4 linked regions of the Tamandua tetradactyla genome follow. The protein of the gene in region 4 interacts with the protein of the main gene of each other region in a pairwise test. Links are inferred from orthologs where the notes say so. Each region holds a gene or a part of one and is shown on either strand. Other genes may lie near its edges. The genes, in order: SPRY1, FOSL1, FOSL2 and CREB5.

What was found.
Region 1: the proteins of CREB5 (region 4) and SPRY1 interact in binary tests that used the Homo sapiens proteins (3 or more experiments, as listed by UniProt). The two-hybrid records come from large-scale screens. The link is inferred for Tamandua tetradactyla from reciprocal best matches to the Homo sapiens genes CREB5 and SPRY1.
Region 2: the proteins of CREB5 (region 4) and FOSL1 interact in binary tests that used the Homo sapiens proteins (3 or more experiments, as listed by UniProt). The two-hybrid records come from large-scale screens. The link is inferred for Tamandua tetradactyla from reciprocal best matches to the Homo sapiens genes CREB5 and FOSL1.
Region 3: the proteins of CREB5 (region 4) and FOSL2 interact in binary tests that used the Homo sapiens proteins (3 or more experiments, as listed by UniProt). The two-hybrid records come from large-scale screens. The link is inferred for Tamandua tetradactyla from reciprocal best matches to the Homo sapiens genes CREB5 and FOSL2.

What each region holds. Positions count from the first base shown.
Region 1 is NC_135348.1:45,256,624-45,264,276, reverse strand, and holds the start of SPRY1 (protein sprouty homolog 1), read left to right. Parts: upstream 1-4,648; 5' UTR 4,649-4,829; intron 4,830-5,568; exon of another isoform or gene 5,569-5,675; intron 5,676-6,246; exon of another isoform or gene 6,247-6,296; intron 6,297-6,427; exon of another isoform or gene 6,428-6,499; intron 6,500-7,653. UniProt on the Homo sapiens protein: Inhibits fibroblast growth factor (FGF)-induced retinal lens fiber differentiation, probably by inhibiting FGF-mediated phosphorylation of ERK1/2. Inhibits TGFB-induced epithelial-to-mesenchymal transition in lens epithelial cells.
Region 2 is NC_135335.1:8,626,171-8,633,400, forward strand, and holds the start of FOSL1 (fos-related antigen 1), read left to right. Parts: upstream 1-4,220; 5' UTR 4,221-4,451; coding exon 4,452-4,553; intron 4,554-6,371; coding exon 6,372-6,569; intron 6,570-7,230.
Region 3 is NC_135329.1:12,553,024-12,560,298, reverse strand, and holds the start of FOSL2 (fos-related antigen 2), read right to left. Parts: upstream 3,001-7,275; 5' UTR 2,898-3,000; coding exon 2,799-2,897; intron 2,444-2,798; exon of another isoform or gene 652-2,443; intron 1-651.
Region 4 is NC_135327.1:94,598,385-94,605,909, reverse strand, and holds the start of CREB5 (cyclic AMP-responsive element-binding protein 5), read left to right. Parts: upstream 1-4,519; 5' UTR 4,520-4,748; coding exon 4,749-4,895; intron 4,896-7,525. UniProt on the Homo sapiens protein: Binds to the cAMP response element and activates transcription.

The sequences.
Region 1 (7,653 bases), on a different chromosome or scaffold from region 4:
ACTCTGGTAGTCGACAGATACTGATTTATTACTATATCTGCCATATTGATAAAGAATCAAAATTAGTGTTCTGAGTCTCAAAAGGAAGCAACAGGAAATAATCATTCTGAAATACATGTATAAGGAAGCATCATCTATTTTTTTCTTTTTCTACTTATTTTCAACTTCTGCAATGTTTTCAGTTACTGTTTTTATTTTAAACTTTTGCTGATCACAGAGTTTACAAATTTTATAGGGAGAGTTTTCAATATTTGCAATGACCATGAGCTTAACCGGAAATAAAATGTCAACACTTATAAATTCCAGATAAATAAATGTTCAGGCGATCAAATCTCATTAAACTCCTTAATCTGAAACTATTAGCAGATAGCAGCTCTAAAACCCTACTACCTATTTGCAGTTAAACATATACACAGCTATACATTTATTTAAACCTAAGTGTTCAGCCATAGAAAAATAAAAGTAAAACTGAATTAACTCGAAGCAATTATGAAGCAAATAAATTCATTATTCAGGGATGAAACGCTTGGAAAGAGGGATTTTAAACATTTCTTGTGTTTGAGACGATGTGAACCAACAACAATTTATACAGAGCTTTAAAGCTTACAAAGCGCTACATATATTGAGTCCTAAAGTGGCACTGAGATTTGGGAAGGTGAACTATTATTATTCACCTCAGGTTATTGAGAACGCAAGCTAGAGAAATTAAGTGAACGAAACCATCTAGTTAGAAAGTAGCGAAGCTGAGGTTTAAACCTCATAGCACCACACCTTACGTCTGCTACTCTTTACCCAACACCACGCTGTTTCTCTATTTATAATATTGGCATGGGACATATGGCTAAATACAGTGAAAGTTATAAGCCAGGATACAGAAGGGTGATACAGTTAAAACCCAGATTGTCAATACATATATCCCACCAATTATTACAGACCATTCGAAAATGTTTATAAAAGAAATTGTTAAAAATGCCCTAAGGGAATTGCAAATCAAAGGAATTTCTAAGTATAAATACTTAAAAAAAAAGTATGTTATCAAGTTTTGTATATTTTCTTTTTTAAGGGACATGCATATAGCTATTCCATTAAATGAACATTTTATAATTTTTTCATAAATAAAGGATAAACTGTAGCTGTGGTCATGGGTTATTTCAATAGGAAATAAAAATTAAACTGGGTAAGCCCCAGGTGATATTTTAAGTGTTTTGGTTTAATGAAAATATTATATTTTCCCTACAATTCATTTTTGGGAATAACTGTAAATTTAAAATAACCTCGGTTTTTGTACACTTGTTTCTAAAGGCGAAGATAACAGTAGATAGATATGGAAATTTGAGGTTAATAATTCTTTTGCTGACCAGAATCAAAGATGATACTAGGTTATCATTATAAGTTATTCCACTGCTTGTTTCAAAAAATCATCAGCAGAAGAGATGGGGAATCTTGTTTTCACATGAAAATGAAGGACAAGTTTAGGCTCAGAGGAGAACATTTAACATCACTGAAGAGGAAAGAGGACAGGATTTATTTTACAATTGGCTAGATAAGAAATGAGGGCTGTTTCTTGCTAGGGCAAAGATGTTTCCTTATACAACCTTACCCTGTGGATTTAACTAGTAAAACCTTTGATACATAGTGTCATGTAGTTCGTCTGAAGTCTTAGATCATTTTGATTTCCAGTGAAGGAATAGGATGCTTAGAGTATGGCGGGCTCCATTTACAGCTCTTCCATATACACTTCTTTCTTTTCTTACAACTTGCAGAAAAACAGAATCAGTGCTGACAAAGCCCACAAATGATTGGTCATAAAATTATGGCGATGACAGAAACTTGATAAATCATTCATTGTGATTTACTCAATTTATTGAGAAACTGAGGCTCAGAGAAGTGATTTGCCCTGTTCTAGAATTTGAAACCAATATAGAACATTAATATATCAAAGAGGGCAGAAGGATGAGGTTTAAGCTTATGAAAATGAAGAGAATGTTTATGGAAAATTTACAGAATAGGTTGGTCTATTTCTGTCAACTACAAAGATTGTTTACAAAAGGAAACTGAAAATAAAATGGTCTATCCTTGCCAGTTTTCCTTGGGAAGTATAGTAATGTAGAGACTATTGCCCTAAAAGGCAAGAGAAGAGACTTTGTTTCCACCCCTGATTCTTTACTGACTTATTAAATAGTCACAGGCTAACTCATCAACTTCTGTGATTTTTGTGTATTTATTTCTCAACAAGATAAAATACTATTGTACATTTCTTATCACGACAATGGAAACATCGGGAACATTGATAAAATATTATTTTTCAAGAGCTTGGAACACATTATGGTTCTGCTCTTTTGGCAAATAACGGAGATAAATGAGTAAGATCAGCCTCCCGCTACTTCACTCAAAACAAAAAACCACTAGCAGTTGCAAAGAGTTGCATTTTTTTTCATTTCCTTCCCCCCCCCCCCCCAAATCCAATCATCAGAAGAAAAGGCTAGTTTTATTCTTACATGAAAATAAAGGACAAGCTAGGGGTCACTTTTCATTTCACTTTATTCTTCTGGACATACCTTAATATAGTAAACTAAAAATTATTTTATAAGATTGTCCCATTGAAATTAAATTTTTTTTTCTTTCTCAGAAAAATTTCATATCCCAGCTATCCATTTCTAACCGGAGTACGCTATAATTAAACTTACTAAGTTAAGAAGAATGCCTATTTTAACTTGAAAACTAAGAATTTCTAACAAGGCTTACAATTGTAAGCAGTTAAAAGGAGGGACAAAACATCTTCTATATCCAAGGTGGCAAGGCTATCCTTATATTTATTTGCAATGCATTATTTATAGAAAAACATACTGGTGTGTTTTAGTACTAAATCCTGTAAAGGGTCATTGGTTAACTTTTGTGTAACAGAATATTTGATTTTCTAAATAGAATATGTCTCATTATCTGTGATGATGTTACAGATAAAATCTCATGAATTGTATTTATTATTGCATTTTTAAAACACCCAATCTTATAAAAATCATAATTTAATACCTCTTTGAATAGTTTGAAGTTTATTTGTAATTGAAATCTTCCAAATCTATTTTTGGGATTTATGGAAGTAGAGTGTCCCGGCTTTATCATAGTGGTGAACTGACCTCTCTTCCCCAAATTGTGATGACAGCTGAGAAGACAATTTTGAAGAACGAAACAAGATGCCCTAATGCGATATTCTATTTCTTATTTGACTGTTGATCAATTCCAGATCTATTTATAAAAACTATTTGACTATTGAGAAAAACCGATCCATTTTTGGTAAAAGTTTATCACATCCCAGAATATAGTAAGATCCATGGGGGAAAAAAGACAATATAAATAACATCAATTTTACACTTTTAAACAGCTTCTTTTAATACTATTTATAATATTAAGGAGGAATACGCAGCTCCTTGGTTTAAAAAAAAATACACAGTTTTTATTGTGTATTTTCTCCTGCAGCTTTTCTCCTGCTGCTGATGCTCTTAGGGTACTCTAGGTTCCTGAAGGGCAACTGTAGACACAACCTTAAATTTAAGTGCTCAAAGCTTTGAAAGCCCAGTCGGTCTAAGGAAAAATGGTTTTGACAGAATCACTTCCTATTGTTAAGAATGAGATTTTTTAACTGCTTTGAACTGAAAATGTTGTACTCACCCTTAACTTTATATATTAATTTTAGATTCTGAAGTTTTATTTTTGTTTCCTTTGTTTTGTCAACGATTTCAAGTTACTCCTGATATGCTGGAAAAACATATTTCCTTCCCAGTAAATACCTACTTTTGGTTTTAGGCATCTTTTTAAGGTCTCTTTGGAATCTTAAATTTCACATATATTTATCCTCACTGCAAAGTGAGTATAAATGATACTCACTTTGATAAAGATGCCTAAAATTCCATAAGTTGTAAGCAAGCAAAAAGCAAAAGTTCCTATATGCATGATTACAACTTTACTTAAAATGTATTTTGTAATATTTTATTACAAATAATGTATTATTAAGAATTATAAAAATTACTGATAAATAGTTGTTTTAACTAACTGCCTTTCAGCTGATTAAAAAAAATTAGGGGGTGATTTTTTTAATAATTATACAAATATATTACAAAATTGAAGGAATTTTGGATTTATTTCATTCGACTGATATATGGGAAATTGCATCACAAACCAAGATAGTGTAATATTTAAAAATCTGCAGCTTAAATTTCACACTTATGACCTATTGTTATATTACATTTTCAGCAAAGGGTGTCTTCTTTTGAACTTTCAGATTTCATATCTCCTGAACCTTTGTTTTAAATAGAAACTTAACGTTATGATAGCATCTTTTCACTAACAACTAGATATTTTCCCTCCCAATGATCAGAAATGGTGGGTTAACATTCTTTTTTTTTTTTTTTTAACTTTCCTGAATGCTTCAAAATTCTTTTCTAATTCAACCTTACTGAGATTGATAACGAAAGAGAAGCGCATTCGGCGGTACTGTGATAAAAGGCACTGACAGAATGTTTGCTACACAAGCACACAGGGCAAAGCGTCCAAGCTCGTGCACAAACCCAAAAGGAAACGACTGTCGGGGAAATCCTGTTCCAGGTTTTCCGGCAGCCCCTGTGATTGACACATGATATCACTGGGGGCGTGTCGTCGAGCGGAGGTGGAGGTAGGAGGCGAAGGCTGAAATTCTGTGGAGCCGGAGGGGATCGCTCGGGACAGCACGCAGGGGTTTGCAGAGAGATAGTGGGGGCCGAGCTCCCTGCCTGCATAACGACCAGACACAGTCGCTGTAAATGTGCCTGAAAAGCAGTTTCCAGCCTTTGCACTAGGTAAGAACTGTTTCCTTCCTTTTCGTCCGTAGACATTTTAGGAACGATTACTTGAGAACTCAGGTTTGCATGTGCAAGGAACTGAAGTTTCTTTGAACTCGCTTTACTTCTAAACTTACTGGTCGTATTTCACAACTTCAGGAGCATTTCCACTGCTAATGCTGATCTCTTAAAGTCAATGCTACCGCTAAAAGAAATCGCGGGGTCCCGCTCCCTTCGCTAAAAGAAATCGCGGGGTCCCGCTCCCTTTTCTTCCTTATCCGAAGAGCAACAAGTTGAAAAGTCTCGCAGCGACGCATGTGTGAGGGACAGCGCGGATTGTGGCGAAGAGGGACCCGCAGTCTGTGCAGACCAAGTGCGTGCTCGTTCAGGCACTGCCGGCCACCGGGGCCCGAACGAGGCAATGGTTTTAAAACCTGACTTTCCCGATTCTGGGTATTGATTTCCAAGGCGCAGAAGCGTTGCTTGAACGTTGTTTGGACTTGTAGGCGTTCCGAGGGCAAAAGCACTTCGGCAAAAACGTGCCAGACTGCATGTTGCCCCGGCTGGCGGCTGACGCGAGACCGTGCACCGGCCTGCCAGTCACCGGGAGCCGCGACCGCAGCGCGGGGCAGGGGGCGGCGGGCGGCGCGCGAGTGGCCGGTCCCGCTCGGCCCTCAGCCGGGGCGCGGACAGCTGCGTGTCCAGGTGGCGCGAAGAAAGGGACGCTAACGCGCTTCTACCTCTTCCTCGTCTGCAGCAGGCGCTCCGGACGTGGAACCTGAGGGTCGCAGGCCTGAAGCGCGCGCCGCCGCGCGAGGCTGACCCGCTGGCACCGGAGTTCCCGGGACGCTGCGCGCCCACGGCTCGGCGCGGGGCAGGGAGCGCGGCTTGGCCCGCGCGCGGACCGGAGACGACGCCCCGCCGCCTCGGGCCGACAAGGACCCGCACTCCTCGCCCCCGCCGCCCCCCGCCCCTGCGCGGCCCCTGACCCGCCCGCCGACGCCGGCTCGAGCTCCGGCCCGGGCGTCTCGGAGTCTCGAACTCCCGCGACGCGGACTTTCTCTCGTCCGGAGGCCGCCGGCCCTTCCTTCCTCGCGAGGAGAGGCCGCAGCCCGGGAAGCACGTCGGTCCGAGCCCTCCGTGGCCTCCGCCGCCCGGCCCGCCCTCGCCGTCCTCCGCGCGCTGCCCCGAGGGACCCGGAGCCCCCCCCGCGCGGGGCTGCCCTCGCCACTGTTCTGGCTGTCGGAAGGGGCTGCCGGGGAAACGCTCCCGAGGTGGATGTCACTGAGCCTCGGCGCGAACGCGGGCGGCGCAGAGCCGCGGGGGAGTGTGCGCGGCGGCCGGAAGGAGGCGGCGGGGAGCACTCGGGGCCGGCCCGGCGCCGCGAGGCCGCCACAGCCTCTCCGCCGCGGCTGACGCGGCTCGTGCACGCCGCCGCCCGCCCCGCGCCCCGGGGCCCGGCTTCCCGCCCGCACTCCGGCCGAGGTGAGTGGTCCGCGCCGTCCGCGGTCCGGGGCGGCGGGAGGCGCGCGGGCGGGTGTGCGTGCCGCGGCAGGTGCGGGCCCCCGGGCGGGGCGGGGCGGACCTCCGGGAGGGGGCGGGGCGGGGAGGCGCCAGGCAGGCCCCTCCCGCCAACCCCGCGCCCGCGGGCGGGGGCTCCGGGGCGCGTGAGCCGGTGGCAGCGACTGGTGAGCCTCACGGGGGACCCACCACCCGGAAAATGGGTTCTAGGAGGTTTGGGGGGTTCCCTGGAGGGCTGTAGGGAGGCTTTTGCCGTGTGTGTAGGTGCGCGTGCGTGTAGGTGCGTATGTGTGTAGGTGCGTGTGTGTAGGTGTGCGTGCGTGTAGGTGTGCGTGTGTGTAGGTGCGTGTGTGTAGGTGTGCGCGTATGAAGGTGGGTGTGCGTGTGGTGTGCGCGGCGCGCGCGGGGACCTCCGCCGCCTCCGTCCGGCCTCCCCTTGTCCGGCGGGGCGCCGCGGCTGTAAAAGCGCGAGGTCCGCCTCCCGCCGGAGGGCGAGGGGACGGCTCTCGGTAACGGGCTCCCCCGCCCCGCCGTTGGCCCTGGCGCCCCGCGCTCTCGGCCCGGGTTGCGGAGCGCGCAGCCCCGCCGTGGCCACTCGCGGCTCGGCCCCTCGCGCCCGCCCCCGGTCGTCCCCGCGCGGCGTGTGGCTGCGTCTGGCCTTCCTCCGGGGGCTCCGGGCGCCTGCGCTGCCCCCCCGCCGCTCACCCGGAAGGCTCCGCCCGAGCGCCGGGATTGAGGCTGGGGCGCGCGGGCAGCCGAGGTGGGCACCCTCGGAGGCCCGTGGGCTGTGACGGGCGGTCCGGAGAGGTAGCTGCTTGGCCGGTGTGTCTTTGGAGAGAGTTTGCCGAGAGCGTGGGCGCGTGGTTGGGAGGAGATCGCGGACTGTCACTGCGGGAAAATGGGCTTTTCTTTGGATCCGAGTGCCTGCCTTCCTCTGCTTTTAATGGTTACCTGGTTATTTTACTCACCGGCCCGCACCAGTTTTGCTGCGACCGTTCTGTAAAACCCAAGTTAAAGTTGTCCCTGGTCGTCTCCTTACACTATTCACGTTCCCTACGGTTTTTCCTAAGGTGTGGAGGCTCAGTGCTTGCAGAGGCCCTTTGCTTTCAAAAAGCCCTGGGTTAAAAAAGTTCTTTGCGAGGTGGAATGACAGTGTGTAGGAGTAACCGCTAAATATTTTTGAGTGTCTCAGTAGGCTGTAAGTGTCTCGGCACACTAGTCTCTCCTAGTGTGCCGAGAAGGTAGAATAAAGCAGACACTCGGAAGACCTGGGTTGTGAAAGTGGGGAAAGTATGGGGGCAGTTGGTTTAGTTACAGACTT
Region 2 (7,230 bases), on a different chromosome or scaffold from region 4:
CGCCATGTCTGGGAGGGCTTGAAATGCCAATGTTAGGGATACTGGTCCCTTTTGAGGGACACACTAACAAGGCTATGAGAAGCCCCGGCTCTGGAGACCCGGTACGTAGGTTCAAATCCTGGCTCCACCACTATCTCACTGTGTGGCTTTTAGCAGGTGACTTAACTTCTCTGTGCCTCCATTTCCTAATCTGTAAAATGGGTATAACCTTACTATCTACCTCACAGGGTTACCCCGAGGATTGAATAAATTACTTTGAACCATGCCTGGTTCATTGGAGCTCAACAGTGTCATCCCCGAGGCCCTCCAGCCCCTCCAATCAACACATCACCTAAGAGGGTGCATTACCCATCCGCCACCCCGCCCCTCCCCAGGCCTCAGCACCTCCCTGTAGCCTTGCTGAAGGTGCTACAGCTCAGAAGGGTCCAATACAGCGAGTGATGTGGACAGACTTTAAAAGATTCCTCTGGAAACATTTTCATGATTAAAAATGCATATATGCGGGGGTGCACAGGTGGTTCAGTAGTAGAATGTTCGCCTTTCATACGGGAGACCTGGGTTCGATTTCCAGACCATGCACCCTTCCCCCCCAAAAATACATATATCCTTCTGAAGTGATGCAAATGCTCTAAAAATGATAATGGTGATGACTACACAACTATGTGATGATATGGACCGTATGTGTGTGAATATTTGTCAATAAACAAAAAATACATATATCCTCCAGGTTGCAAAGTGGGAGACCTAAAGGAGGGTGCTGAGCTGCAGAATGGGAAAAAGTCCAGGAGAAAGAGAGAGGATGGGGCCAGCCCGTTGACCGGAATTAGAGTGGTACTTCCAGACATGAAGCAACCGGAATTCTTTACCCACGACTGGTGGGACGTAAAACAGTAAAGCCACTTTTTGGAGAACTGTTTGGCGGAATCGACTAAAGTGCCAAGCACACGCCTACCTCCACGACCCAGCAATTCCAGTCCTGCCTGGGCAAATGTCCGAGAGAAATGAATGCAAATGGCCACCAAAGAACACATTGAGAGTGTTCTCAGCAGCCTCATTCATCCTAGCCCCAAACTGGAAGCACCCCCAGTGTTGCCCGCTTTTGATACTTTGCGCACACTAGAATGCAATACAGCAACAGAAAAGAGCTACTGGTTCACTCAGCTCTGTGGACAAACCCCCCCCAGATGGGATGCATGAAAAGACACATACTCCCCTCCAAAGAATACACAAGATATGGCTCCATTTATATGAAGTTCAAGAGCTGGCAGATCTTATCTGTGATGGTAAAAGTCAGAAGAGTGGCTACCTGGGAAGGGACACAGGGAAGTGCCCTACATCATAATGCGAGTGGTAGTTGCACAGGTTTATCTATATGTCAAAAGACATTGAGCTAATGGGCATAGCCCAAGTGCCCCTAAAGGGTGGGAGAAAGATCAAAGGTGATGGTGGAGTTACACAGAGAAGGTAAGGTTTAACAAATGAGTATGAGTGCTGAATCATTATACTGATATTTCTTTTGGTCTCCAGTATCTTAGAGCAGCTAGAAGTAAAAACCTAAAACTGGAATTGTAACCCATACCAAACTCTGAAATTGGTTCTACAACTACTTGTTGCGCTGTATTTTGATATTTTTCACACACAAAAAAGGTCAATTGTGATGCTTAAAAAAAAAAAAAGCATTGAGCTGAACCCCTTAGGAGCGCACTTTCCAGCATGCATGTTAAGCTGCAACTTAAAAAGAACAAACAAACAAAAATGTAATGGAACTGAAAAAATAAGCATCCCCTCCAATGCTCTGGTGGCACTGATTGGGCACACTCATGTATCACACCATTTTACCTCACTGCAACCCCCAAAGCTGGGATTCTCTGGGGCCCAGAGAGGGGAAATGACTGGGCCAGGGTCCCATGGCTGCCAAGGGGCTAGTGCATGGTCTCTCAGGCCTCCTGGCGCCCCACGAGGCTCTCAGCAATCCTCATTGTGACCCCCTGGAGTTCTCTCCTGGCCTCCTGAAGTTGGAGCCGGTGAGGTCAGGGACCAAGAAGACTTCTGCAGCCACAAGGTGGGAGTTAGTGACTGAGGAGTTTGGAATGTGCTGCCTCTGAAAGGGCCTCCTTGTGACTGAGCCGACGGTTAGAGCAGGAAGGGACTTTCAGAGCCGTGTAATCACACACATGCATAACTTGGAAGAGATGGGGAAACAAACTCAGAGGGGCTAAGAGGCTTGCCCCATGTCAGGAGTGGGGCAAGCCCTTGCTCAGGTAGTTGCTTCTGAGGCAGGCAGGTGGATGTGGTCAAGACTGTCCTTGCAGGTGATGCCACCTGGCTTCCTGTGTCATCCCTCCCAATTTGAGCTGAGCCAAGGAGGCCAGATATCAACGTGTGTGAGTGCTTCCTGTTTCCAGAGTCCCAAGGTGCTCCCATCTCTGAGGCTTTTGAGTAGTATGTGGATTTATTTCCACTACTATTTGTTAAGTTCTTACTATGGGGCCAGGTGCTGTGCTTGGCATGGGACAGTACTTCTATGCCTCTACAACTCTGAGGTGTAGTTATCATTGTCTCCATTTTACAGATGAGGAAATGGAGGCTGAGAGATTGCATGCCTCAGCTACAGTCACACAGCTGATGAGCGGCCTGGCCAGAATTCAAACCCAGGACCCAGAATCATCTGATGCATGCACTTCTTCAATTACTATGGTTTCTTTTTGTTTTTCATTGAAGACAAGCCTTGATTAGGACAAGGGCGGGGGTAAGTAGGCTGCTAAGGACCTCCTGAGTAGATGGCACTTTACAGCTTCATTCCATTTATTCCTCATAGCAGCCCCATGAGCTCAGTGGAGAGTCCCAATTCTACCCACCGGGACTGGAGCTGAGAGGAAATGTGACCTGCCCAGGGTCACACACAGACAGAAAACAGTAGCTCTGGCCCTGAAGGGGCCAACCTGGGCTTCTGGCTAAGCCCTGACTGAGTCCACAGACCCCTCTGGCTTCTGTTCCCAAGGAAGGCAATCCTGGACCCTTCTTTTCTGTGGGCTAAACTGGAGCTGATCAAATGGCGGTACCAGTGGAAAAGCAGGAGAACCCAATCTTCTTTCTGTAGTTAAGCCCACTTGCAGCTCCTTGCCCTCTCTGGGCCTTGGTTTCTTATCTATAAAATGGGAGGGGGCAGGGAAGAAGCTTCCAGACAGGTCCCCCCCCCACCCCGTGCTGACATTTGGTGTGAGTGAAAAGATGTCTGTGAAGCTGTGAGGCTTTGAACAGTCTTGGCTGAGCCTGGCCTAGAGCTCCCACAGCCCCGGTTTGAGAACCCAGTTCTCATTTAGTGGGCAATTCATTTCAATATCTCCCAGCCTCAGTTTCCCCATCTGTGAAATGGGGATGATAATGGCACCCACCTCCCAGGGTTATTGGTCTTTGGTTGTTGACATTTGGCTCTTGGCTTCCCATTCACACATTCAAACAAGGCTGGTGACCACAAGGAACACAGATGGCATTTAAAGAAGACGCCGTTCATCAAACACCTACACCCATGTCCCACTGGAGGCTCCCACTGCCTGTAGGGACTCTGTACTAAAGCTTGTTATAGCTCCTGGAATTACCCTGTGAGTAGCACAATTATTATTGTATTGTATTTATGGGTCTTCAAAGTAGTATTTTATTCATTGCAATCCGTACCACCAATTTTGTAATCTGGTTTGTCCTTTATTCACTTTCTAGTATACCTGAAACTTTAAAACCATGCCAGTGGAGGGGCCTCACGCCACGCCTGGGAAGCTGTGGGTGGCACTGAGCAAGGTTCCTGGCTTGAAATAAGCACCCAGTAAATCATCACCATCACCCATCACATTTACAATTCACTTTACAGCTTCCAAACCGCTTTCACATTCATCTTTCCAAACTCCCACGCGTGGCAAGGTAGCTGTGAGATTATATCGTCCTATCTTACAGATGCAAAAACTGAGACCCGGCCAAACTAGGAGGATAGGGGCCGGGAACGCCGCGGCTGGCTTTCTGTCTGCACCCGCGGCGGGGCGGGGCCGGACGGGGCAGGGCGGGGCGGGGCGCGCGGCTCCTGGGCAGGTGCGTAATTCCGTGAGGGGAACCCTCGGCTCCACCTGGGCGCGGCGAGGAAATTGCACCATGTATGGGCAGCTACGTCAGAGGGGGGGAGGATACTTGCAGCACTCCCGGCCGGGAGACGCCGAAGCCACCCCCTCTCCCCAAGAAAAGGCAGCTACCGGACAGTAGGAGGTGTCGAAAAGCTCGGGGCGGACTGGCAAAAGGCTAGAGGCGGAGCCCCGAGGTGACCCGCGCCGCCGCGCACCCCCCGCCCCCCGGTCCAAGTGGTTCAGCCCAAGAACTTTTCATTCATAAAAAAGACTCCACTGGGGAGCGAGTGAGTCAGAACCGCAGCCGCCGACGCGGACCCCGCACAGCAGCCAGCCCAGGGCATGTTCCGAGACTTCGGGGAACCGGGACCGAGCTCCGGCGCGGGCGGCGCGTACGGCGGCCCCTCGCAGCCCCCCGCCGCGGCGCAGGCGGCCGCCCAGCAGGTAAGAGGGGTCCGACGCCCACTGGTGCTCGGGTGGACAGCGCCTGGGACGCCGGGGTGAGCTCGAGAGTGGCTCTGGGGACTGGGGTAGGGAGCCGGGTGGCAGGACCCTGCCCGTTCTCCGCCGTCGAGCGGCCACTTTTCCTCCACCGCCCAGGGGGGACGCGTGCCCCCCCAGCCACTTCCCGGGTCCCCTCCTCCTGCCCAGGGACCCAGGACGCCTGGGTTAGTTGTAGCCCCAGTAGGATCAGAGCGTGTCTCCATCTCGGGCTAAATTCCGGAATCTGGAGTCTGGGCTTGGGCACCGAGGGAGGCGGGGTCCTTGGGCTGACCGGTCCCGACAGAGTGGGACTCCTTGGCACTGTCTGTGTGTCGCTCCGTTTGTCTGTCCTTCCCTCCCCACCCCTCGCCAAGCCCCTGTCCCCTTCTCAGCGGTGGCCCGGGCAGCGGAGCCTGGTGGGCTTCCAGGGACGGGTTCTCAACCCCACGATCGGGCCACTGGAGCCCTGGAGGTGCCGGGACGTGCGCGGGGCCACGTTGCGGGCAACTCCCGCGTCCCCGACTCCTGGCACCGAACAGCGCCCGCTGCCGGCGGGGGGCAGCCAGGAGGCTGCAGGTGTCCATTTCCTGTCGAGGGGCTGCCAACACGTGTCGCCAGGGGAGGGAAAGAGCGGGCGTCCGTTGCGCCGAGTCACGGCCGCCGAGTCACGGAGGCTGACTCACCCGGGGCGCCCCTCCCTTCCTGGCCCGGAGCTGCCGGGCCCGGACAACCTCGGGAGCCGGAGATGCCGTCGGCGGTCTCTCAGGCCCGGAACTGGGGTCACCCGGCCGCTGGGACGGCAGCCTGCACCGGGGCCACCACTGTCCGGACTTGCCTGGGCCTGTAGGGCGCTTCCCGGACGACTAGGTGCCCACACCCAGGGCCCAGCCCCAGGGCTCAAACCCAATTCTCTCAGAACAATGGACCCAGCCCATTCCTCAGATGCAGGCTCCATGCTGGGTGCTTTCCACTTCAGTTACCGCATTTCATTGAATCTAAGATGCCCTTGATCTTAAAACCCACCATTATTTTATGCACGTTAAAGGGGGGTGGGGGTGTGAAACAAGCTAATATTTCAGCAATTAAAAGGTAATTCGTAACACCACTGAAGTGCTCTAATCCTCATTTTTACAGTGTCACGAATGAGGAAACTGAGGCACACTGATTTGCCCCAGTAAGCAACTGAGCTAGGATTAGAACTGGGACAGGTGGAATCCAGAGCAGTGGCCCTTGCCTACCACAAGCCTGTGCACGGGGCACCTCCCACTTTCCAGGCTGTCACCTAAATTCTCTCACCCGATTTTCACAGCCACCTGGGAGCTGGGAAGTGTGATCATCCTCTTTGGGCAGATGGCACTCAGGCAGGGTGCAGGAGTGGGGAAGGGCATAGACTCTGGAGCTGGGCCCCTTGGGGTTTAATTCCACTTTCCACTTCCTAGCTGTTTGTCTGTGGACATCTGCTCCCCTGTCTAAAAATGAAGATAATACTAGAGCTGCCACCTTAGGGCTGTTGTGCAAATTATGAGTTGGTATCTGTATGGTGGTTAGAATACTACCCGGCAGGTCACACTCTATAAGTATCAACTCTGATGGGAAAACAGAGGCACAGAGAGGTTAGGGTACCTGCCCAAAGTCACACAGCTCGTGAGCAGGGCTTTGCCACAGGTCAATCTCTTTCTGGTTTCCCAGTACCAGCAGTTACATTGGGGGTGGATGGCAGTGTGGCCCTATCCACTAGATGTCCCTTAATCCTTGGTCCTCCATTTCTTATCCCCCCAGAAGTTCCACCTTGTGCCAAGCCTCAACACTGTGAGTGGCAGTCAAGAGCTGCAGTGGATGGTGCAGCCTCACTTCGTGGGGCCCAGCAACTACCCCAGGCCCCTGGCCTACCCCCAGTACAGTCCCCCACAACCTCGACCAGGTGTCATCCGGGCCTTGGGGCCACCTCCAGGCATCCGGCGCCGGCCCTGTGAACAGGTAAGGGACAGTGGCGTTGCATTGGTCCTGATACCTACAGGCGTGCTATGGCAGGGAGGAAGAGCGCCTGTCTGAAAGGGTAGGGGTGGGGTGGGAGGAAGGCAGGACCACTGGCAACTATTGCTCAAAGCAGAAAGTGATCAGATGCCAAGGTCACTGCTGGAGCAGGGGAAAGTTTCCTGGAACAGGGGCATAACAGCTGAAAAATATGGGTAGGATTTGCACATGTAGAGATGAAGGAAAGGAAGTTCCAGGTAGACAGAATGGCAGGAGCAAGGAATGGAGGTGGAGGTGAGGATGTGCATGGGGAAAGGTGAATGGGCAGCGGAGGGCCTCTACCTGCCGACATGCATGGAAGGGTGAGCTTATGCCACCCACGGCTCTGTAAAGCTGGGGAGAGAACAGGAACAAGAGGCTCCCCTTCAGCTACTCTCTGAGTCTGTTTCCCTCTCATTTGATCCTCACAAAAACGCTCTGGGGATTGTATGCTGGTTCTCCTCCTTTTTACAGCTGAGGAAACCAAGGCACAGAAAGGTAGAGTCACTCAGGCAAGATCCCATAAGTGGTGAGCAATGAGACAGGTCTAACTCTAAAGTAGGCTGCTAACCACCAAAGCTGCACTGACAGGTGTCACCAGCAGGCTGGAAGCCAGGGACTCTGC
Region 3 (7,275 bases), on a different chromosome or scaffold from region 4:
CTCCTTGATTCAATAAGGGAAATATCCTCCTTGATTTATTTTCACAAGTTATCTGAGGAAGAGACAAATGGGAGGCCTTGGAAAAATTCTGCGTTTTGTTTCTGGTTTGCTTTTTTACAAAAAGGGGGCCCAGCTGATGAAAACAAGTTATGAAATGACCTATGTTTGTGTAACTGGCTGGATTGCGTAACGCCCAGAGCCTGAGACCGTAATAGCCAAGTGAGCAGGCGGTGCGTGTATCTAGGACGTGTTTTCCTAGGAAAGCTAGGAGAGAGAAGACAACAACATCAAGAGAAAGAAAAAAAATAAATCAATCCAGGAGGGGGAGATGTCTGCACCTATCACGGCCAAAACAAAATCACCAACGATCAAACTTTGAGATTAAAACTATAACTGGAACAGGAAATATTTTTCATGCTTCGAGTTCCAGCCATATTCAAGAGCAGACGCTTTTGAGATGAGTTATCTAGCCCCTCCAAACGTCACTGGAACTCACGGACAGTATGTTACGATCGAACTTTATGAAGCTGGAGAGGAGAGGAAAGGAAAGCTCTGGGTTGAATAAACAACAATAAAACTCACCAGAAATATTGTTCCCCTCCCCCCGGAAAATAGAATGTTCCCTTCCCCAAGAAAAAACCAGGGTCTTACATGGATGAGTCTTCTGAGAAGCCATAGAGGAGGAAAGCTCAGCCACTCTCTGCCATGACAGTCTCCGGGTTGAGGAAGCAGAGGCACATAAAGTGATTACAGGTTTTATCTGGTATGTAATAAAGTTACCTTGAGCCTGAGATTGGGTGGAGTCACAGCACAGACTTGTGAAATAACAAACGCGTCTCAGGTCAGCTTTGCTCAAACTTGGAGAGGCGATGGAAAAACCCTCCACCCCCAGGATCAGGCGGGCAGACAAACTTGTCTAAAGTGGCAGCACTTTGCCAGTCCCTCTGCTCTGGAGGCAGCCTCGCTGGCTGCCTGGTGGAAGGGGCAGGCGTACAGGCGAGAACCCCGTGCGCTGGTTATTACTAATTGCAAAATCCTCATGTGTTACAGCATGCTAGGAATTGGCCAACAGCTGTTTTTTGCTTCAGTAATGAGGCCCCATTACACTGTGCCGGAGTGAGCTCTTTTCCTTCTTCCTAGCACTGGTTTCCTGTCTGATTTTCTTCCAAATCAGGGAATTGCCTCCACTCACATCCTGGGCTCCAAGCCCCAGTGACACAGATTACTCAGTTGGGGCACTGGTGTCCAGACTTGGCTTCCCACACAGGCCCCAGGCTCTGCAGCCAGGTGGCGGGAATGGAACATTTAAATGTTCACTGTCCTGGGAACGCAGCTAAAGCAACAGGGAAGAAATCAAAAGATCCCTCTGGTGAGGGGAAGAGGAGAGGGGCGTTCCGGGGGTCAGAGGGAAGGGGTACAAATGACTTCAAGTCACTGCCTAGTGACGTTTACATTCAGTTTTAAAAACGAAAACAAAAACACCAACATGGCTGGAAAGCAGATACAATGAATCACTTTTCAGATAAGATTTCCTATTCAAACCCTCGGTCCCTTATTAACGGTGCCCCCGGCTGCACTGTCAAATGTGCAGACTCCAAACTGGGCTCTCTATGTGGATGCTTATGGGGGCAGCAGAGGAGGTAGAGGGAAGAAAAGGAAGAGCCGTTCTGGGGACTCTCCAGGTACGGCAGGTAGCCTGGTTCAGGTCTCAACAAGAGCCATATTTCCACTTTATCCCCCAACCGGCTGCACCTCTCCATGGGACGACCCCACCCCTCCTGGCTGGCTCCAAGAGGTCAAGTCCACGGCCCTCCTGGAGTCGCTCCTCCTCTACCCAACTTGCCTAAGGCTATCATAGATCCTGCTCAAGGTGGGCTTCAGGTTGTCCTGGGGCTTGAAGACTGGCTGCCAACCCCACCCAGTAGGCACCCCACCGCCGCCACCACCGCCGCCGCCACCCCAGCAGCACTTTCTGGTATTTATAGACACGCAGAGGGCACACACAATCCCTCCAGCGCAAACCAGTCCGGCTGCTTTAGAAACAAGTTGTTTTCTTCTCCCAGGACTATCCGGGAGCCTAAGCGAGGTCTCTTTCCTTCACTTCTCTCTGGGCCTCTTGCCCAGAGAACCCCCAGATTCTCAAGGCATCCCTTCCGGAGGGGGGCCATATAGGGGATGGACTCAGGGACCCGCAAGCAGACACCGAGTCACTCAGGGCTGGCCTCCTCCTGCCTGACCTTCGCACCTGGTTCCCAGGGCTGCCACCCTCACCCCCGTCCTGGATTACTTGAAAAAACCCCACCTTTTTAGAAATAAGGCTGCTGGAGAAAGCGGGGAGTGGGGAGAGGGCTTTCCCATAGGACGGGCCCCTCGCTTACTGGAGGGGCATAGATTTCCCGATTTCCTTGTCTGTCCACCACGGGGAGCGCGGGGGAGTGGAGGCGGGGAGGTGGGGGGGTGGGGGTGGCGGCGGGGGAGTAGGGGTGGGGGTGGATGTTCCCCGGGACGGGAGTAACAGGCTCCTGGGAAGGGAACCTGCAATCGCAGAATAGGAGCTAAGCTGGATGCGATGGATAAAAATGGGGTTTTCAAGCCCTCTCCCCGCTCCGATTTAAAAAAATAATAATAATAAAAGTGGGAGAACTAGGTAGGATGAGAATCCCGAACTTGGAACGGCGGGCCGCAGGTATTTCTTCGCAAAGACAAGAAAAGGAAAAGAAAGAGAAAGAGGCAGAGGCGGCGAGAGGAGGGCGGGGGGTCCGCCCGCGCCGCCAGGTGCACCAGAGGCCGGCACCTACCTGCTGGCCGCCGCCGCTGGAGTACGACTCGGCGTGCGCAGGAGAGCCGCTGCTGCCCCGGGACGAGGTGTCAAAGTTCCCGGGATAATCCTGGAACATGATCCGCGGTGGGAGCCCGAGAGGAAACAGGGTGTTTGTCTTCCCCCGCCCTCGTCGCGGCCGCGCACTGGCTGCTGCGCGCTCCCTGGCTCGCCGGCCGCGCCCCGGGGTCTGGCCTGGGCGCTCACGCTTCTCCCCCGGGGCACCCGGCGCGGGCGCGGGCGCGGAGGGCGAGGCAGCGACCTCTGCGAGGCAGGACCCCCCGAGCGCCTCTCGCCCAACTTCTCTGCGGCCCTCGAAGCGCCACGGGACCAGCCGTCCACCCGGTTCCTCCCTCTAACCAGTCTGCGCGTCCGTCGGTCCCTCCCCTGCTCGCGCCCTCCCGCCCCCGCCGGGACCGACGTCCAAATCGAAAAGTGGGAATTAAAAAAGGATGGGAGCTCCTCGAGCCCTGCCTGCCGAGTGTGGGAGCCCCAGATTGTAGAGCGATCAAAAACTAAAAATAAAAATAAAAGAAAGAGAGCGAGAGAAAAGAAAGGCTGCCCTTGGTGGAGAAACTTCTATTTCCTCCTTTTCGAAAAGGGGCCCGACCATAAACTTCCTGTGGCTAGACCCGCCGCCTGCCTTTCGGGGCTGCCGGACACTTGGCCAGCAGGAGCAAAGCAGCCCGCGCGCGTCCCGGGCCCCTGGCGCGCCGGCGGCCACGCACGCCCGTGAACTTCAAGCCCAGCCCGCGGGCGGCGAGAGACGCGGGCCCGGCTCCAGCACCAGCTCCCGGAGACACCCGCACTGCTTCCCGGCGCCCGCGCCTCGCCCGTCGCCTCGCGGGCCCTGCCTCTGCCCGCCGGCGCCTCTCCCTCGCTCTCCCCGCCGAGCGCCGCTCGCTCGGAGCCCCTGCGCTCTGCCCGAGATGAGTCACTACAGTGGCACGAGTTCAACTCCACACTCTTTATTATCCAGCCCCCGTACCATGTGGATTCACTCACGTCAACCCGACTCCACCTTGCAGGGAGGAGCGCGCCCGGAAAGGCGGGAGGGGGAGGGGGAGGGGGAGGGAGGAGGACGCGGAGGAGGAAGGGAAGCGGGAGACGGCGGGCCGCTCGGACGCCAGCTGCCTGCCCCGGAGCAAGAGAGGAAGAAGGTGGCGGCGCCTCGGCCGCGAGTCCGCGGCGCGGTCCGGGGAAGCCGAGGCACCCGGGTCCTCTCCCCACCCTGTCCTCATCCCCTCCCCACCCCCAGGCCCAGAGCCCTTGGTCTCTTCCATTGGCGCACGTTGCCAAAGATGGTCATTTGCGTTAGAGGACGTGAGTGCGGGTTTCCTCGCTCTCGGGTGACGTGGAGGGAGAGGGATTCCCTCGCCCGCTCCCGAGCGCGCCGCTCCGGCTCCCCCCTCCGCCCGGGCCGGGGCTCGGGGCCGCCGCGCTGCGCCTGAAAACTGAATCACGGCCCTGAGGAGCGAGCGGGCGGGTTTCGGGAGGCGCCACCGCGAGGCCGGGAGCCGGGCGCGCACAGCCGCTGGCAGGGAGGGCGCGGCCGTGCGCGGTGGCCCGCGCCCTCCGCGGCGCCGCCCGGTGTCCCGGCGCCCTGGGCGGGCAGGCGACCCAGGCTACCCGCGCCGCCCTGCGGCCAGGCCTTGGGGCGCGGCGCCGCGGGCCGCCGGGGTCGGGCTGCCAGCTCTCTGCCCTTGGTGGCGGGCTGCCCACTGCTGCTTTTTTTCTTTTTTTCCTTTTTTTTTTGTCCCCCAGCGCTCGGGTTAATTTGTTAGGAGTAGCCTTGAAGCCGAAATTAACCTGTCAAGACATTCCGACCGCCCTCCATACCGGACAATTAGAACGCATCTAATAGGAGGAACTGGGCAAACTGCAGGTTGTTAATTAAAAAAAGCAGAGGAGGAGGGAGGCCGGCGAGAGGGTGTGTCCCCACACAGTCTTCAGCTGTTTGGAGCGAAGTTTGGGGCGCGGGTAGTCGGGACTCCTGGGTCTTCCCGCCTTGCTGGGCGGGGCGGGGGGAGGCGCAGCGTAAGAGCCCCGGCTTTGGAGTCTGAACGTCTGACTCTGCTATTTACGTGCTGTGAGACCTTGGACGAGTCCCCGAACCTCTCTGGGTCTCAGTTTCCCACTGTAAATCGAATACGTTGGGCCAGGTGACTTTCTAAGGCCCCTGTCAGCGCTGGAGCTTCCTCAGTCCTCTGCAGAGATGATGGCGTGTGAGCGCAGAAGCACGGTTCTAGGAGTGAAGGGACGTGGGTCCTGATCCAGCCTCTGCCTTAGCCTCGGTTTACCCGACTAAGTGGCGCCTTGTGCACGCCACAGGGTCCTTGAGAGGACCTTAACAGACTGTTAAACGCTCTGCGCTCTGACCCACCACAGTTCCGCCCTCAGTTTCTTGATCTGTAAAGTGGAGGTGTTGCTAAGAAAGAAAAATAGAGGCGGGAATTCGAAGCTTTCCCGGGGCTCTATATAAAGCGCAGGCGTTTCCGGGACGGCTGGCGGCATCTGGTCGCCTTAATGGCCCCAAGATACGGTAATCCCGAACAATACTCGGGGTCATTGTTTACAATTATAAAACACATTCTGTCCTGAGCTCCATCCCCAAGGACGCGCGCAGCGAGGCGAGGCCGTCCAAAGACTCCTCGCACCTCGGCCGCCGCGCTCCACCCGGGGTCCCCAGCTCGGCGGGCCCGGGTGTGGGTGGGGCGGGTGAACGCGTGGGTGCTGGGTGTTTCTTTTGTTTTGTTGTTTTTTAAATCCCTGCGTTCTGGCCTGCCTGGGTGTTTACGCGCCTTTCCCAGCAGGACTGAGTAAATGCAGGCCTTTGACGCAAGACGGATCAGCTCTGTCCTCAGCGGCAGCAGCAAAGCGCAGAAAACTCAGAGTGGGGGTGGGGATGAGTGCAAAAGAAGAAATCGTGATACGTTTTCCCCTCGTCTCTCCGCCCCCTCCCCGTGCCCAATGCCCCCAGGCGCGGGGAAGGCAGGCCACGAGGGCCTCCAGGCACCCTAGCGAGAGCTTGGGGGGCTGCGAGGGGAGGAGCGGCGGGTGCGCCCGGGGCCCTCCCCCGCGCAGCCGCGTGTCGGAGCGGCGGGAACAGACGCACTTTTGGTTTTAGTTTGAGCGGCAGCGGCAGCCCGGCCCTCCCCCACCCCGCGCTCGAAAATCCGGGTGCCTCTGGGTCTCTCCCACACGATCCTTCCAGTAACGCCGGGTGGGGAAAAGGAGGGGGGAAGGGGAGCGGGAGCGTCCACCGTGGCCTCCGCGGTCCCGGGCGCGCCCATGCCTCGGTAGGCGCCGCTGGGTGCAGGCGGGCGAGCGCATCCTCGCGCCCTCGCCCGCCCCCGCCTTGCCCGCACCCTCGGCCCTTTCCTTTCTTGTGGGTTCCCGTAAAGCCCAGCAGCCCCGAGACGTCTGCAGAGCATCATGGAATCTGTGCTGATGCAAGTAGGCAGCCATCTCCTTGGTGCACCCCCGGCCTGCCTCAGAGCGCTTTGATCCCGCCTTCCCCTGCTCCACAGCCTGCGCTGGCTCCCACCGCCCGCCGGGAGGTCTGCTATCCTCCCGCTGCGGTCCTCCGACGCGCAGAGCTGCGTCCTGCCCCTGTGGCAGGACTGACCGCGCGAACCAGTGGGTTCCTCAGCCGGACTGTCTATGCCAATCGGAGCATTTCGTCTGCAAGCCCTGCTTTCTGCGCCCTCCGACGGGAACCATTGCAGGATCGCCCGGTCAGAAAGAGGCCCTCGTGGAGGTCCCCCCCCCCCCCCCGCCGCCTGGAATAACAAGGAAGATAGAGCCCGACATTTATTGTGCATTCACCAAGAGGCAGACAGCACGTGGAATGTTGTAGAGGGATTGTCTGTTGTAGAGGGATTGTCTGATGTAGTGCTCACCCAGCCATGGGAGGTGGGCATCATTTCCCAGTTGCAGAGGGAGAAAGGGACATTAAGCAGCTTGTGCAGGGAAACTGGTTGTAGCAGGTTAGTGACCCAGTCGGAAGCCCAGCTGGGCCTCTCGGGCCCAGGCCATCCTCCTCTCACCCAGGACATGGAATGAATCCTCTGCCGCCTGCTGGGGTCTTTTCGTTTCTGTTTTATGGGTCTCCTGAAAGCATGGACTTCATCTGGTTCAGGGCTCGAGGTGCCCCTCTTAAATAAACAGTCCGGTACCATCGCTCAGTTCAAGAAGGGGGTGATGTCAAGCGAGGGAAGGGAAGGAGAGGAATGGGGGGCCACATGTGGTTTGGACCATCTTCTTGCCGCCTCGCTGGGTCTCCAGGACCAGCCGGCCACACTTTTGCCAGTTTCTTCATGTGTCCATCCAGCCCAAAGTTTGGTCCCCAAGAGTAACACCAGGAGATGACACAACTCCCAGTGTGGTGTGCGTCCGGCTCGCGGCTGCACTGGGCACACTTCTGAGTGCCACATGTTCATAAAGCCCCTTTACAG
Region 4 (7,525 bases):
TATTTCAATAAAGCTGCTTAAAAATGCATATCTTGGAGGAAAATACAGGGTGCTAAATTCAATTGAAATTTGAGCCATATAGGATATTTTGAACTTGAGATGAATCCATCAAGATGAGCAGTGGTGAGAGGTCGATGGAGCACGACAGAGCTCAGTAATAGGAAGGGACAACTTCTAAAAATCACACATCTTCTGTGTCTCTAGTCCACACCTCTCTCCTCATCTATTATTTCTATTTCCAACTTTACCCTGGATATTTCCTCCTAGATAGACTGCTACTATTCCTTAATTTTCACATTGTTCAAAGGTGAACTAACCCTCAGACCAGTTCTCCAGATGTGCCCATTTCAGCTGGGATCGCCATCATCTTCTGGCCCCAGGCTTCCCCCTTCATGACAATCACTGGCTGCCTTTTCCCTTGGCAGCCATGTCATTACCAAGTGTACTAGACTCCATGTCACCTGGGATCTCGGATGTTTGTCTTTCCGCCCTGTCTCCTAAAGTAATTCCATCTCTGAAGTGAAGATTAAGGGGAAGAGAATTATTCAAGTCTTTATTGAGCTTACTCTTTTATTCTACCATATCAGTCCTTACAAATCTATTAAGAGACTGGAATCTCCCCCTTTCAAACATGTGTAAAATGAGGCGCAGAGGTTAAGTGGTTTGCCCAGTGTAATGAAAACGGTAAATGTGGGAGTTTGAGTTTGTCACCAGTTTTATCTAGTGTCTGCTCAGACTTTTTTTCATTTTGGGTACATTATGAATCTTTCCACTCTGTGGCTCTGAACATCTCATTACCCTGAGCAAGAGCCTTCTCTGGTGTCCCGTCTTAAGGCCCCTAGACTTACCCGAGCCAGTATTCCTGCATTTAAGCCAGGTTTGCAATGAATTCTTGTTTGTGTTGAGTGCCTCTCTGCCATGTTCAGACTCTCCTCTTGCCTGGAATGCCTCCTACTCTCCTCTAGCACACCCACCCAATCACACACACACACACACACACTCACACACACCCTGATGGCCTACACCCCCACACACACCTGCCTGTGGAAACATTACTCTCCAAAACCCATCACAAGCATCATCTCTTCATAAAGTTTCCTGATCTCTTAAACCAAAAACTGAAGGCAAAATTAATTGATTTCGCAGTGTTTTGTTAATATTTTTTCTTATGATTCCTTTCTTTGAATTTTACCTACTATTGTGGTTTTTTTGTGTGTTTGTCACAAATTCCCTCCCTTGGTTGTAAGTTCTGTAACAGCAAGAAACTTAATATTGCTCAGTTTTAATTTCCTCCATAGAAACTTTCATATAGTCCTTTATATATAGTGAACGGCTAATTAATCCTGAGTGAATTGGTTAAGAGGATACCCATGCATTGTACTTTGTCCTGACTTTCCTATTACCAGCATTAGAACCTGGTCAGGGTTCCTGGGAGGACCAGCCTAAGGAGATTTTTGGGTATTGATGAATGTTTCCTTCCCCCTGAGCATTGCCTCAATTTAAATTCTATCCTTTAAAGGCCATTGTAATGATATTTTAGAAATCCAAAAATGGAGGTCGAGGTGGCTGGGGATAAATCAGAGAGAATCTCATGGCTCTCACATATCAGTGATTTTTAGTTTTTACATTCTCTTCCATAACCTTGTCCAGAGGTTATCATAATTTTTAAGCAGTTTTAATCAGAGCATAGATATGTATGAAATTCTGCTTCTTTCACTCAAAACCATACCACAGACATTTTTCACATGACTGCTCAATCTTCAAAATTATGGTTTTTTATAATATTCCATTTAGTCGATATACCATCATTTTCTTAACCATTCCCTATTGCTTGTCATTTAAGTTCACTGTGGGGTTTTTTTTATGATCTAAAAAACACTTGACCAATCTTTTGGCAAGAAAAATATGTACCCTGAAAAACCTCTCCTTCTCCTGACGCTGGTTGAATAAAAAAGCCTTCCTTTAGGGATAGGCTTAGGCAAAATTGTGACAGCCTCAGATTTGTCTAGGCTGCCCTTGCGCGTCTTTCATTTCTTTTATCTCTGGCCCTCTTCCTTTTAGCACATTCCATTCCCCAGAAATGCCTGGACCGTGCACTCAGGGACCTGCTGTCTTTCTTCAGAGACTGAGTGTCTACTCCAAACCCTATTCCCTTCCCGCTCTTCTTATGGAACTTCTCTCTCATCTTACTTCTTCAGAGCTGAGATGTTAATATGATATTAGACATTCAAGGTATTTCTTCTCTGGGGTTTTATAATTTTATTATGAAAGGACTCTGGAGATGGTCATTTTGTAGCCCAATAGCACACATCATTAAAAGTGACTCTTTGCTCTCCTTAGCTGGAGAGGGAAAGCACCTTTCACAGATCCCTTATTTGTATGTGAGAGGCTTACCTGCTATATCCTGGAAGAAGGCTGATCTTGATTCCAGGTTTTGTGGTGGATTCAAAAACTATAGACCTTTTGTAAAGATTCTCAAGAGGCTCTAGAATAGCAAGCATTAGACACTGTCTCTGCAACTTTGAAATACCTGTTTGGTGCACAGAATTCTCTTCTATTCAGTGTTAGAGGTGGATTTGCAGGAAGACCCCGGTGCAGTAGAATGGAGGGGAAAAGGGTACTGGATGTATTTTTTTTTAATTATTATTATTTTGCATGGACAGGCACCGGGAATCGAACCAGGGTCTCAGGCATGGCAGGCAAGAATTCTGCCTGCTGAGCCACCATCACACTGCCCGATGTATTTTTGATTTATCATCTGAAGGAGCCTGGGAGTAGGGCTCAAATTCTGATTCTTAGTGCCATCACCTCGTGACTCTGAGTAAGTCACTTAACCTCTTTGGCATTCAATTTTGTCATCTGGTGACACCTGCCTGGCTGTTCCTAGAGCTTATGTAAAGTGCTCTATTTAAGTCTAAGCCCAAAACAACAACAGCAAAAAACAACATTTATAAAGCCTTTTGTATAATTTATAAAGTATTTTTTATGCTTCACTTTGAACCTTAAAGCAACCTGGTAGGGAAATCGTTTCTTATCATTATAATCATAGACTTTTCTACCTATTTTCTGATGAGGACACATCTTAAAGCATTTTTGACTTTCCCAAAGTCATAGAACTGGTAAGTTGTGGTAGTAGTAATAGTTGAGGTTGGATTGATAGTGGTTGTAAGTGGTGGTAGTGGTGGTGGTAGGATATAACCTGTAGAAGTGATGCTGGTTGGGGGCTTGGTTATTAGGAGAAGTGGTAGGTTTGGGCATGGAATTGGCCATAGTGGTAGTCATAGCAAGCAGCTTGCCAGGTATTGTGCTTAGCATTTTACATGCATCATCTAATTAAATCCCCTAATAACTTTACCCATCAGGTGTCATTATCCCTATTTTACAGATGAGGGAACTGAGTCTCAGAGAGGTCAAATAACTTGCTCAAGCGCTGTTGACCACTATCCTTTTCTCCCTTTAAGTCTTGGAAATGAGAAAGTCTGGGTTTTAAGAGATTGTGTTTTGTTTGGCTGGGACATTCTGGGCATGCAATGACTATTACTGTGCCCTCAGGAGCCAATAGCACTGTTTCCATCCTTTTCCAGCCTCTGGCTCCACCCTTTTGCCACCATATGAGCTCCGTTGGTTTTCCTTCACCCCATCATAAAATGCATCATTTTCTCCTCTGACCTCTTCCTTTCTTTCTGTTTCAGGGAAGAAAACTTCCCTTCCCTTTCCAAGCTGAGCTCTAACAATATTCCTGTTTTGCATCTAAATCGCTTTGCTTTTTTCCCCCATCAGGAAACACTATCTAGACATTCCCTTTATAAATAAGAAGGCTTTCCATTTCTAAATCAAAGCCCACTTTTATTTATTTATTTATTCATTCGACAGTTTTTGTGTGTCTTCTGTGTGCCAGATACTATGTCAGAGAAACAGAGTCAAATGATTACAAAAGAGGGTGAGAAATGCTATCACTCGTTAAGCAGAATGTTCTACTCTTTCAGGTTCTTACAATATGGCAGTGGACCTAACAGACAACGTCTCTACTCTTATGGGACTTAAATTTTAATTTGACAAGGTAATAAACAAATATGTAAATATGTAATGCATTATATAGTGGTATGGGCTAAAAAGGGAAATAAACAGAGTAAGTATTTAGAGTGTGCCCTTCCATATTTCAGATGGAGGAGGACACTTCAGATGGGGTAGTGAGGGATGACTTCTCTGATGAGGTGACTTTTGAGTAGAGACCTGCTGAAGTGAGGGACTAATTCCTACAGATGTCTGGAGAAAGAGTTTGCAAGTGTTTTAGTTTGCAAAAGCTGCCAGAATGCAATATACCAGAAATGGAATGGCTTTTTAAAAAGGGAATTTATTAAGTTATAAGCTTGCGGTTCTAAGGCTGTGAAAATGTCCAAACTAAGGCATCCAGGGAATGATAAACTTGATTTAAGAAAGGTGAAGGGGTCCAGAGCACCTCTGTCAGCTGGAAAGGCACATGGCGACATCTGCTAGCTTTCTTTTCTCATATCATAAGGCTTCCCCAGGGATGTTTTCTATCTGCATCCCCAAAGTTCTCTGGCTGTGTGGGCTCTGTAGGCTCTTTCTAAAATGGTTCCCCTTTAAAGGGCTCCAGAAAGTATCCTCACCTTGAATGGGTGGAGACACATCTCCATGGGAAACACCTAAGCAAAAGTTACCACCCTCAGTTGAGTGGGTCACATCTCCATGGAAACAATAAAAAAGATTCTACCCAGCAATACTGAATGAGGATTAAAGAACATGGCTTTTCTGGGGGTGTAGACCAGATTGCAGATTCTTGTGAAATGGCAATGGACCAAACAGACAACAGCTCTACTCTTATGGGAGGAAGTAATACACAAATATGTAAATATATAATGCATCATATAGTGGTAAGTGCTAAAAAGGAAGACAAACTTCCATATTTCAGATGGAGGAGGTACACTTCAAATGGGGTAGTGAGGGATGGCTTCTCTGATGAAGTAACTTTTGAGTAGAGACCTGCTGAAGTAAAGAACTAGTTCCTGCAGATATGTGGAGAAAGAGTTTTCTAGGAAAAGGAGTTGCTAGTACAGATGTCCTGGTAGGTTGAGGAATTTCAAGAAGGCAGATGTGGAAATAGTGGGAGATAGGGGCTTGTAGATTGTCCTGTGACCTTTCATAACCTCATTGATTTGGGAATCCATTGGAGGGTTTTGAATATAGAATACATTACATATTAAGATCACCCTTTATACTGTAAAGGTGGTGGGTGGAGACCAATTAGTAGTCAAGAGATAGTCATAACTTGGAATGGATAATTGTAGGAGAGGTCATGTGATACACTGGACTTTAGCTGTATTTCAAAGGTAAAGCTGGCAGGACTTGCTGACAGATTGGATGTCAGGGAAGATGCCAATGTTTTTGAACTGGGACACTGCAAGGATGGAGTGGTCATTAACTGAGATGGGAAGCTTGAGGGTGGGACAGCTTAGGTGGGAAAGACTAGGAGTTCAGTTTTGGGCCTCACACAGATGAGGACATGTCTAGTAGACAACTGGATGCTGAGTCTGGAGTTCCAGTGAGGGGTCTGGACTGCTGATATAAGACACAGTCAAGTGGGTGGGCCATGGTGGCTCAGCAGACAGAGTACTCGCCTGCCATGCTAGAGAGCCGGGTTCAATTCCCAGTGCCTGCCCATGTAAATAAATAAATAAATAAAAAGATACAGTCAAGAGCACAGCCTTTGACATCATGTAGGCTAGCATCATCTTGCAGCACAAGCTCTTTGCTCACTGGGCCCAAACCCACTGGAATTTCAAGTCCTTGCATGCACAAAGCCTGTCTCACTAGAATCTGAATTTATTTTGTTCATCATCATATTCCCAGCAGATAAGTCTCCACGTAGCTTCAATATTTGCTGAACAAATGAGTGACCATTATTAATTCATTACTTTGCGTAGGGCATGCTTCAGTTCCTCTATTTTATACATACATATATATATATATAAATATATATAATATAATCTTATTGTAACCATATAATTATAAGAGTAATTATATATGCAACAATTTTCTTTTAATGTTAAAGTGTAGAGTCCTTGATTACTTAATGATTCCACATTCCTTTTCTGAACAAACACATTTTTGTTAGTTAATATGTGGGGAGAGACTGGATATGGTTGAAGACTGAATGATCACTTGACTGAAACTCTGAAAAGGAAGGTTTAAATTTCCTGATCATAATTCCCACATACCTGTTTCCTGGTCAACAACTTTGTTGTTGTGACGCTAATGTGAGCAGTGATTTTTTAATAGAATGACCTTTGAGAATACCTATTACTTAGTACTCCCCGTGTTTATCAGGGCAGGGGAGGTGAGGTACAGCAGGGGAGGGAGGCGTTGTGTGGGACAAGCGGCTCTCAGCTGGTCGATGACCTCCTTTGGTGACTCTTCAGATGGTCTGTTGTCTCCAGCTTTCTCCCTGGAGATGATAGGAAATGGTATGTGAGGGAAGAGATTTGATTTACTGAGAAAGGGTTGCTAACTCACAAAAGTTTTTGTCTTTGACAGTGTAGAGCTCTATGAAATGCACAGGATTAAATTAGGAAATATCCTCTTTACACTCCTTAAAGCTAGAATGAGTCTTCAGAAGTAAGTACCCGTGTTGTTTAGCACACGCATTTGCATGTATATATGCACACATGCACAGACACTCACATACATGGATGTAGGGAGAGAGACTGATCGATTGATGCATGAATATATGTCAGTTGGAGAACTTCATGAAAAAGGCACCATCTTTATAGATAATATTGCTGTGGACAGCATCCACTCAACCTACGCATTGACAGTGCTATGCCCAGAGCTAGGCAGTGGGGGAGTAGCAATGAACAAGATAGAAAGGGCCTTGCCTTCATTCCTGGGGTCTAGGAATCCGTAGAGTCTCAGCCTGCTCATCTGTAGGATGAAAATAATAATAGCATTTACTTCATAGCCTTTGTATAAGAAGTAAATGACCACGAATGTGAAAAGTTAGATTTTAAAATGCTATAAAAACTATGAGTAGCTATTAAGATTAATGTACTATATATAGCTATTATTCACTTTGGGATTTATCCTGATTGATTATTTCTAGTTCTGAATATCCCCCATCGCTATACTACCTAAGATTTTCTCCTTATAATTTAGGCAGCTAAAATTTCCTTTTATTATACTCCAGAAAGAAAAGAAAATGCTAAGTATGTAGTATGGGATATAAGCATTTATCTATAAACAGTTACCTACTCTGCGTAACAAATGATCCCCAAACAACATACATTTATTATCTCAGAGTTTCTGTCCTGGAATCTGGGTGTGGCTTAGCTGGGTACCCTGGCTTGGCGTTTCTCACAGGGCTGCAATCACGGTGTTCACCAGGACCACAGCCATCTCAATCCTCAACTAGTTGAGGCTCGGCTTCCACATGCACTCACCTGGCTGTTGGCAATCTTCTGAAAGTCCATGACCAACCTTACTTATGTGGCTGTTGGCTGCAGACAGC